Arabidopsis thaliana: one gene and its partner. The protein of the gene in region 1 interacts with the protein of each later gene in a pairwise test. Each region holds a gene or a part of one and is shown on either strand. Other genes may lie near its edges. The genes, in order: RD21A and AT1G72290.

Region 1 (3,600 bases):
GTGACTTGGAGCATGGAGGTGGGTAGGTGCGGTTCAAAGCATTAAAAAAAGAAAATTTACATGTAGTTTTGATATTCTTTTGTCTCGCACCGTATCGTCTCCATTCAAAGTATGTGTCTATGATTATTGAGTGTACATCTTATTATGATTCATTATAGAATGTAGTTCCCCTTAGGCTAGGAGCGTTAGTTGTGTCTCAATGTTTTTGGCCATATGTACACTAGCGTGTAATAAAGTTCTAAAATACTAATTAATGATTCGTTATTCAGTCATATTATACGTTTCACATTAATACTTTTTATTGAATGTATAAATTCCAATATCGTCATCAGTGTATCTCTACACGCAAAACTATTGTTGAGTTTTTTCTTTTCCAAAACTCTAAATTACAATATTATTTTTTTTATTTTGATAAGTATAATATTCGATGTCACTTGAATATAATAATTTTTATTAATTCTCTGACGAAAAAAAGAGAGCAAGTGTTCTATTGTCACAAGCTAACTCTTGAAAGCATTATATTAAAGAAGTTTGAGTAAAATGAATAAATTATAGAAAATATTTTGAGTCTTTTAATTTCGGAAGGAATCATAATAATAGAGACAACAATCTAATTTCATAATGGTAACTTGTAAGACTTTAGATTCTATATTATCAAAAACTCATAAGAATCTCGAGTTACATGTAACAATCCTATCCACGCGTCTTTTACAATACGTGAGAACACGCGCTCCTATTTGTGTGGACATTTTATTTTTGGCTTGCCAATTAGAGATCAGTGACGTCTCATCTCTTCCTACCCATATTGTCTAACCAATAATTGACCATCACATATTCACATTTATAGATTTCATCTTTACACTATTGTTTTTTTTTTCACTTATCAAAATATCTCAACCGACCCTGAAATTAATTAGGATTTTTAAATCGGATTTTGGCTCAAGTTTTTGTTTTTGAATATTTAAGAAAATAAATACAATTAAGTATAAGTTTAGAGATGATTTGTTCATTTATTTGAAGTTTTTGATTTTTTTTTTCTTATTAAAATGACAAAAAGAATGATTTGAGTTCTTTTCTTTTTTGGCTCAAGATTTATTTTGGCCCACTTTTCTTTTCAATATTATTAAGAAAACTTGACTCATAAATTTTTGTTGGGAAAAAGAGGAAATGAGAAAAGGGATAATAATAACAAACAAAAAAATGATTTGATGTTGGTTTGGGTTCCCTCTTTTTAGTTCAAATATAACATGAGTAATAGTGGTAAATGTACATTATTTGAAAAATTGTAAATAATGCACTATTTACTATTTATTATCTGATTTGCTACTCTTTTTTTTTTCAGTTTCAATTATAGTTCAACATGGAGTTATTTTTTTGTCAAACCCCATATGATATCTTATCTACAAAGAAGCCCATAAATCACTTATCTTCATTTATTTTAGATCCACTTATTTTTAATTCTTTTTTTCTGTTTTGATTCCGTTTCAACTTGTTGGATACATATAACTTTTATTGTTTCTCTATCGTATCAAAAAAATAATTTGGATTTTTCCTATCTTTTTTTTCTTCTAACATACGGATTTTTTCCTTTCCGAAATTGAACTTTCTAATAAAAAAATTCGGAACAAGTCACCATTATTTTAGAAAATTAAAAAGAGTGACGAACGAAAACATTAAAATAGAAAACTAACAATTATTACACTTATCTCATTTGGCTTTTATATATACCCCACCACCATCTCTTGTCCATCATACAATCGTCTTCTTCATCATTTTCTCTTCTTCTTCTCCAAGAAAACACTGAAGAAGAAATGGGGTTCCTTAAGCCAACCATGGCGATTCTTTTTCTAGCGATGGTCGCCGTTTCATCAGCCGTGGACATGTCAATCATCTCCTACGACGAGAAACATGGCGTCTCCACCACCGGTGGCCGTAGCGAAGCCGAGGTTATGAGTATCTACGAGGCATGGTTGGTGAAACACGGCAAGGCTCAGAGCCAGAACTCTCTTGTTGAGAAAGATCGACGGTTCGAGATCTTTAAAGACAATCTTCGTTTCGTCGATGAACATAACGAGAAGAATCTTAGTTATAGATTGGGTTTGACTCGTTTTGCGGATCTTACTAACGATGAGTATAGATCCAAGTATCTTGGAGCTAAGATGGAGAAGAAAGGTGAGAGAAGGACTAGCCTACGGTACGAGGCTCGTGTCGGTGATGAGCTACCGGAGTCTATTGACTGGAGGAAGAAAGGAGCCGTGGCTGAGGTCAAAGATCAGGGTGGTTGCGGTAAGTTTCTACTGGATCTAACCATCATTTTTAGTTACTCTTATCGTAGTATATCATTTTTTGATTCAATCATAAAGTTTTGAAACTTTTGGAAAATGACATATTTGCCCCTTCCGGAAATTATGGGTGTTAGTTAGCAAGACAAAACTCAATAAATGAAATTAATAGTACTAATAATTTAACAAATCATCATGTGTATAGGTCATTAGTCATTACTTAATTAGAGACGTTGACTTATAGTCTAGTTATTTTTGCTTGTGAGCTATAGTTGTTTTGTCCTAAGCATAAAAATAAGGTTTTACTTGGTTACAGGCTCACAGCATTTCAAATGTGTACATTTTGGTTATGAATTTCAGTTATAAGGTTTATGAATGAATCTGATTAACTATAACATTAAATTTCGTAGTCATGATTATGTTAGAAATTGCACATTATTTTAGTCCTCCTTACAGAACATTGATATTAGAATATATGTGTTCCTGTTTGATGTTAATGTTTTGTTGTAAGCTGATGTTGTTGACACTTATGATTGGTAATGAAGGGAGTTGTTGGGCGTTTTCAACCATTGGAGCAGTGGAGGGAATAAACCAGATCGTAACCGGAGACCTAATAACCTTGTCTGAACAAGAGTTGGTCGATTGTGACACTTCATACAACGAAGGTTGTAACGGAGGTCTTATGGACTATGCTTTTGAGTTCATTATCAAGAATGGTGGAATCGATACAGACAAAGATTATCCTTACAAGGGTGTTGATGGAACTTGTGACCAGATCAGGGTAAGTACATTGGTTTTTGTTTTGACAAGGAATTACATTTGATTATTAACACAACTTATGATTCTTATATCAATCCTCTTGTGGGTTTCTTGTTACAGAAAAACGCTAAAGTTGTCACTATCGATTCATATGAGGATGTTCCAACTTACAGCGAGGAATCGTTGAAGAAAGCAGTTGCTCATCAACCCATTAGCATTGCCATTGAGGCTGGTGGTCGTGCGTTCCAGCTCTATGATTCGGTACAAATTTAACCATCTTCTCATAGTTCTTAGGTGTTTGTTAGTTTTTATGCATATAAATCCATTTCACTTCTGTTGTTAATTGTATACGCCAATTACAAACGAAAGGAGAAACTCTGTTTGGTGTTTGCGTTTACACTTTACAAAAGAATTCTATGAAAAATTGAAAAAAATGTTGCTAGTGTTTGAAAATGTAAAGTTTTATTCATATATAAACGCATGAAACAATTGCATCTAATAGGTGGTTGAATATTAAGTAGCTTTTCACTATTTTTGGTCTCAAAATGTTCATATTGTT
Region 2 (3,790 bases), 9.9 Mb from region 1:
AAAGCATCTCACTGACCTTATAGTACCGGAAAAATGGAGTTGTGACGAGATCTTGAAGCAAAGGATTCAAAACCTCAGTGTTGAGATTGTCAACTGTTTCATAATCACAGCAACAGTCCTCAATCATACCTTTGTATTTACCTGTTTTCTGTATAATATCCCAAAGGAAAATCAGAAAGACGAAAAAATCAAATCCTGATCAATACAATTAAGTCCACTGAAAGAGTGAATCTTACAACAACATTGATAATCACACATCCTGCAATAAATCAGTGGCACATTTCAGGGACAACGATTCAAAGCTTTCGCTCAACAATGTCATCAAAAGATTCAATTTTTATTACCCTGAATCCATTGGCTAAACAATGTGATCAAAAAGATTCAATATTTATTATCATGAATCCATAAGATAACAAATATCCACAATTTTTCTCAATACCCAACAAACTTAACATCACGAAAATGTACTTGAGAATCTTAAAGTCAAATTCTTTCATCTGTGATCAAAGCAAAAAGATTGAGAATTTAAGAGAGTAGAATCAAAAACCTGAAGTGAACAGCTACAAGAATTTCGATCGCTGAAGAAGAAACCGACATTGGAATTCGTCCTAGAGCTCACAGCAACTGCCAAAAACACGACAACCAAAGTCGCTAAAGGCCATCGCCATGTTTTTCTCTTCTTTTCGCTCTCTTCTTCTTTGATTGCGCCTTTTCCCATTATGACAAATTACAAAAATGGAAATTGAAATGGGACAAATAAATCCTTTTACAAATAAATATAAAAACACGTTTTTTGAGTCTTCCGGAATTTCTCAAAACCCCATTGTTGTGTTTGTTGTGTCTGAAGTTCGTCTTAAGCAAGCAATGAATGTCATGTAAATGCGTTACTTTCAATGCTGTATTTTTGACATTTCAGCGCGACGTGGGTTTTGTATAACACGCGCGTGTTGGAGCAGTTTGTTATGGTCTCGTGACGTGCATTAACCAATAGGATCCATTTGTTCTCGTAGTAATTAACACGTTGCCTTTTCAACGCTTCCCAGTCAACGACCATTCGTTTGACTAAACGCCTCTTCGGTCCACGCTGTCGTTTTATTGAAGGAATTATATTTTATTTTAATTGGGCCTGCAGGCTAAACTATAAGTCCGTCTGATATGGGTCGGGTTGGGCTTATGAGTTATGGGTCTGGTAGGGGTCAATTAGCTTAATTTCGATATGTGCCCTACTCTCGACCTAACGTTTTGAACACGTAAGAGAGAGTTTCTAATATTGAGTTGTCTAATTAACTCGATAGGCTTATACAAAGTGTTTCCGCATTTTACCTTCTTAATAACTCATCATTCACTAACTAAGAAAAGTTTTACTCAGACCATATCTTCCGCTTCTTGATTATTGTCAATTTGTTGTCACTCAATTTATCTCTTGCAAAATTTAGTTGAAATCATTTGGTTTCATCTTTGGCTCTTGAATAGTTGCATGTGTGTATTTAGTAAGTTCTTTTCAATTAAGAAGGAAGAATAAAACAAATTGTGGCCAGAAACAATTATGTTGAGTTTTATCTCATACGTTGGCTCATTCATCCCCATCTCTCTGCTTTTGAATCATTCTACTCCTCCCATTTTTTGATCGTCCTTTTTCCTGCTTCTGAACATGGATCATTGTGCATGTTCGGATGTTCCTCGATCGTGCTGAAACTCAAAGTCTGAATCGATTACCATAGACTCTCAACCCATCTTTGATATATAAAAAAGAGCCTTAACCCATCTCTTCTACTCTCCCTCTCTAGAAACAAACACATCACGTGATGATCTGTTTCCCCCCATACTTACGGGATGATCAGAATGTGGCATGAGGAAAAAGCCAAGAAATAAGTTGATAAATTTAAGGTTTAATTTAACAAAAATGAGAGATTAATCTTTTCATTTTAGGGTCGCACGCGGTGTTTTGTGCAACCGCAGAAACTTCCTATAAATACCGATACAATGTGCATGCTTTCTACAACTCAACTCACTCAAACCAAAAAAAGAAACATCAAACCCTAAAACACACATAACAATCACAAATGAAGAATCCTTCAGTGATCTCTTTTCTCATCATTCTCCTGTTTGCTGCAACTATTTGCACCCACGGAAATGAACCGGTGAAGGATACAGCCGGAAATCCACTTAACACCCGCGAACAATACTTCATCCAGCCGGTTAAGACCGAGAGTAAAAACGGAGGTGGTCTTGTCCCAGCCGCCATTACAGTACTTCCCTTTTGTCCACTTGGCATCACCCAAACACTTCTTCCCTACCAACCCGGCCTACCGGTTAGCTTCGTATTAGCACTTGGCGTAGGATCAACCGTTATGACATCTTCGGCTGTAAACATCGAGTTCAAGTCCAACATCTGGCCGTTTTGCAAGGAGTTTTCCAAGTTTTGGGAAGTTGATGATTCCTCATCAGCTCCCAAGGAGCCTTCAATTCTCATCGGTGGTAAAATGGGGGACCGAAATAGCTCGTTTAAGATTGAGAAAGCTGGAGAAGGAGCTAGAGCAAACGTTTATAAGTTGACCACCTTTTACGGAACCGTTGGAGCCATCCCAGGGGTTTGGTTAAGCGCACCACAACTAATTATCACCAAGGATACGGCTAAGACCTTACTCGTCAAATTCAAAAAGGTTGATGATGCTACTACGGCTACTAGCAACTTATACTTCCCGGGTTGATAATTTAGGTCTAAGGATGTTCCCGTTCTACTAATCAACTGGTAAAAATTATTGTAATATTAAGCCTGAGACTCGTCCATGGCCTAAAATAATGAGTTATTTTCAAATTTCAATTAATAAGAAAGAAAAATGTGGCCAGATCCAGATACATAGATGTTGAGAATCATTCATAGGCATTGCTGTTGAATCTGTTTAAGGCATGAAATAGTTTTCTTCTTCATTCTACTTTGTATCCGAAAATTTTCTCTCCTCTTGTAAAGATCTTGAGCTTGAGAAAACATTGATCATTCATAGTATAACTTGCTGGACAGAATCTAGCTCCGGACGTGGATCTCGTGACATCGACTAATCAAACCGGATAAATAAACGTGTATGTCTCTTGCTTAATTGAGAGATTAAGATATTTGAGGAGTATCTCAAGGTTTTATCAACAAAGAAACGTAACACTATTCTTTTGATCACGATAGGGTTTCTTTTTTTGGCGTTACTCTATATAGCTTATTTTCCCAAAAACACTCAAAACGACGACGTTTAGCAAGACATATATTATCCAATAAGTTTTAAAAGTCTAAATCAAAAGCTTTCGTTTCACAAAAACCTCTCTCTTTTTTTCTCTCTCTCTCTCTGTCTCTGAATCTTCCATTGATGTTTAGGTATGTCTCAGTTTCTCAGATTCTCATGCTTTGTCTTCTTTCGCGCGTCATACGACTCTTTCTTTTCACTCAATGTCTCTTTGGTAACTATGCACACCAAATGTTCGATTAAATGCCGCTTACAGACCCCACTTGAGTTATTCTGTTAGCATCACAGATTTTTTTGTTTTCTTAGACCTCTTAAGAACGGAGAAATTTCATGGAAGCCAAAGTTGGTTTGATCATACGATACATTCCAGATTTCTAATCAAATCCTTTTATAAAAATCTGCTTTTGATCATGTTAAAGCCAAAGGGTTTTACATAGCTAGAGAGCTACATGTATATAGAAATCGTTTGAATGTCACGAGCTGCATAAATTCCTGTTCTTTACATCATCAAAGCTTCTATTACCATCAAAATTATAATTTACATGGAAATGATGGTT

Evidence for each region.
Region 2: the proteins of RD21A (region 1) and AT1G72290 interact in a two-hybrid assay, tested with the Arabidopsis thaliana proteins (one study listed by BioGRID).

The regions. Positions count from the first base shown.
Region 1 is NC_003070.9:17,283,821-17,287,420, reverse strand, and holds the start of RD21A (Granulin repeat cysteine protease family protein), read left to right. Parts: upstream 1-1,671; 5' UTR 1,672-1,811; coding exon 1,812-2,286; intron 2,287-2,827; coding exon 2,828-3,063; intron 3,064-3,161; coding exon 3,162-3,302; intron 3,303-3,600.
Region 2 is NC_003070.9:27,213,789-27,217,578, forward strand, and holds AT1G72290 (Kunitz family trypsin and protease inhibitor protein), read left to right. Parts: upstream 1-1,998; 5' UTR 1,999-2,063; coding exon 2,064-2,711; 3' UTR 2,712-3,069; downstream 3,070-3,790. Other genes in the region: ERO1 (endoplasmic reticulum oxidoreductins 1), read right to left, coding at 17-148, 548-718. UniProt on the Arabidopsis thaliana protein: Water-soluble and chlorophyll-binding protein that probably does not function as a chloroplast chlorophyll carrier and is not involved in photosynthesis.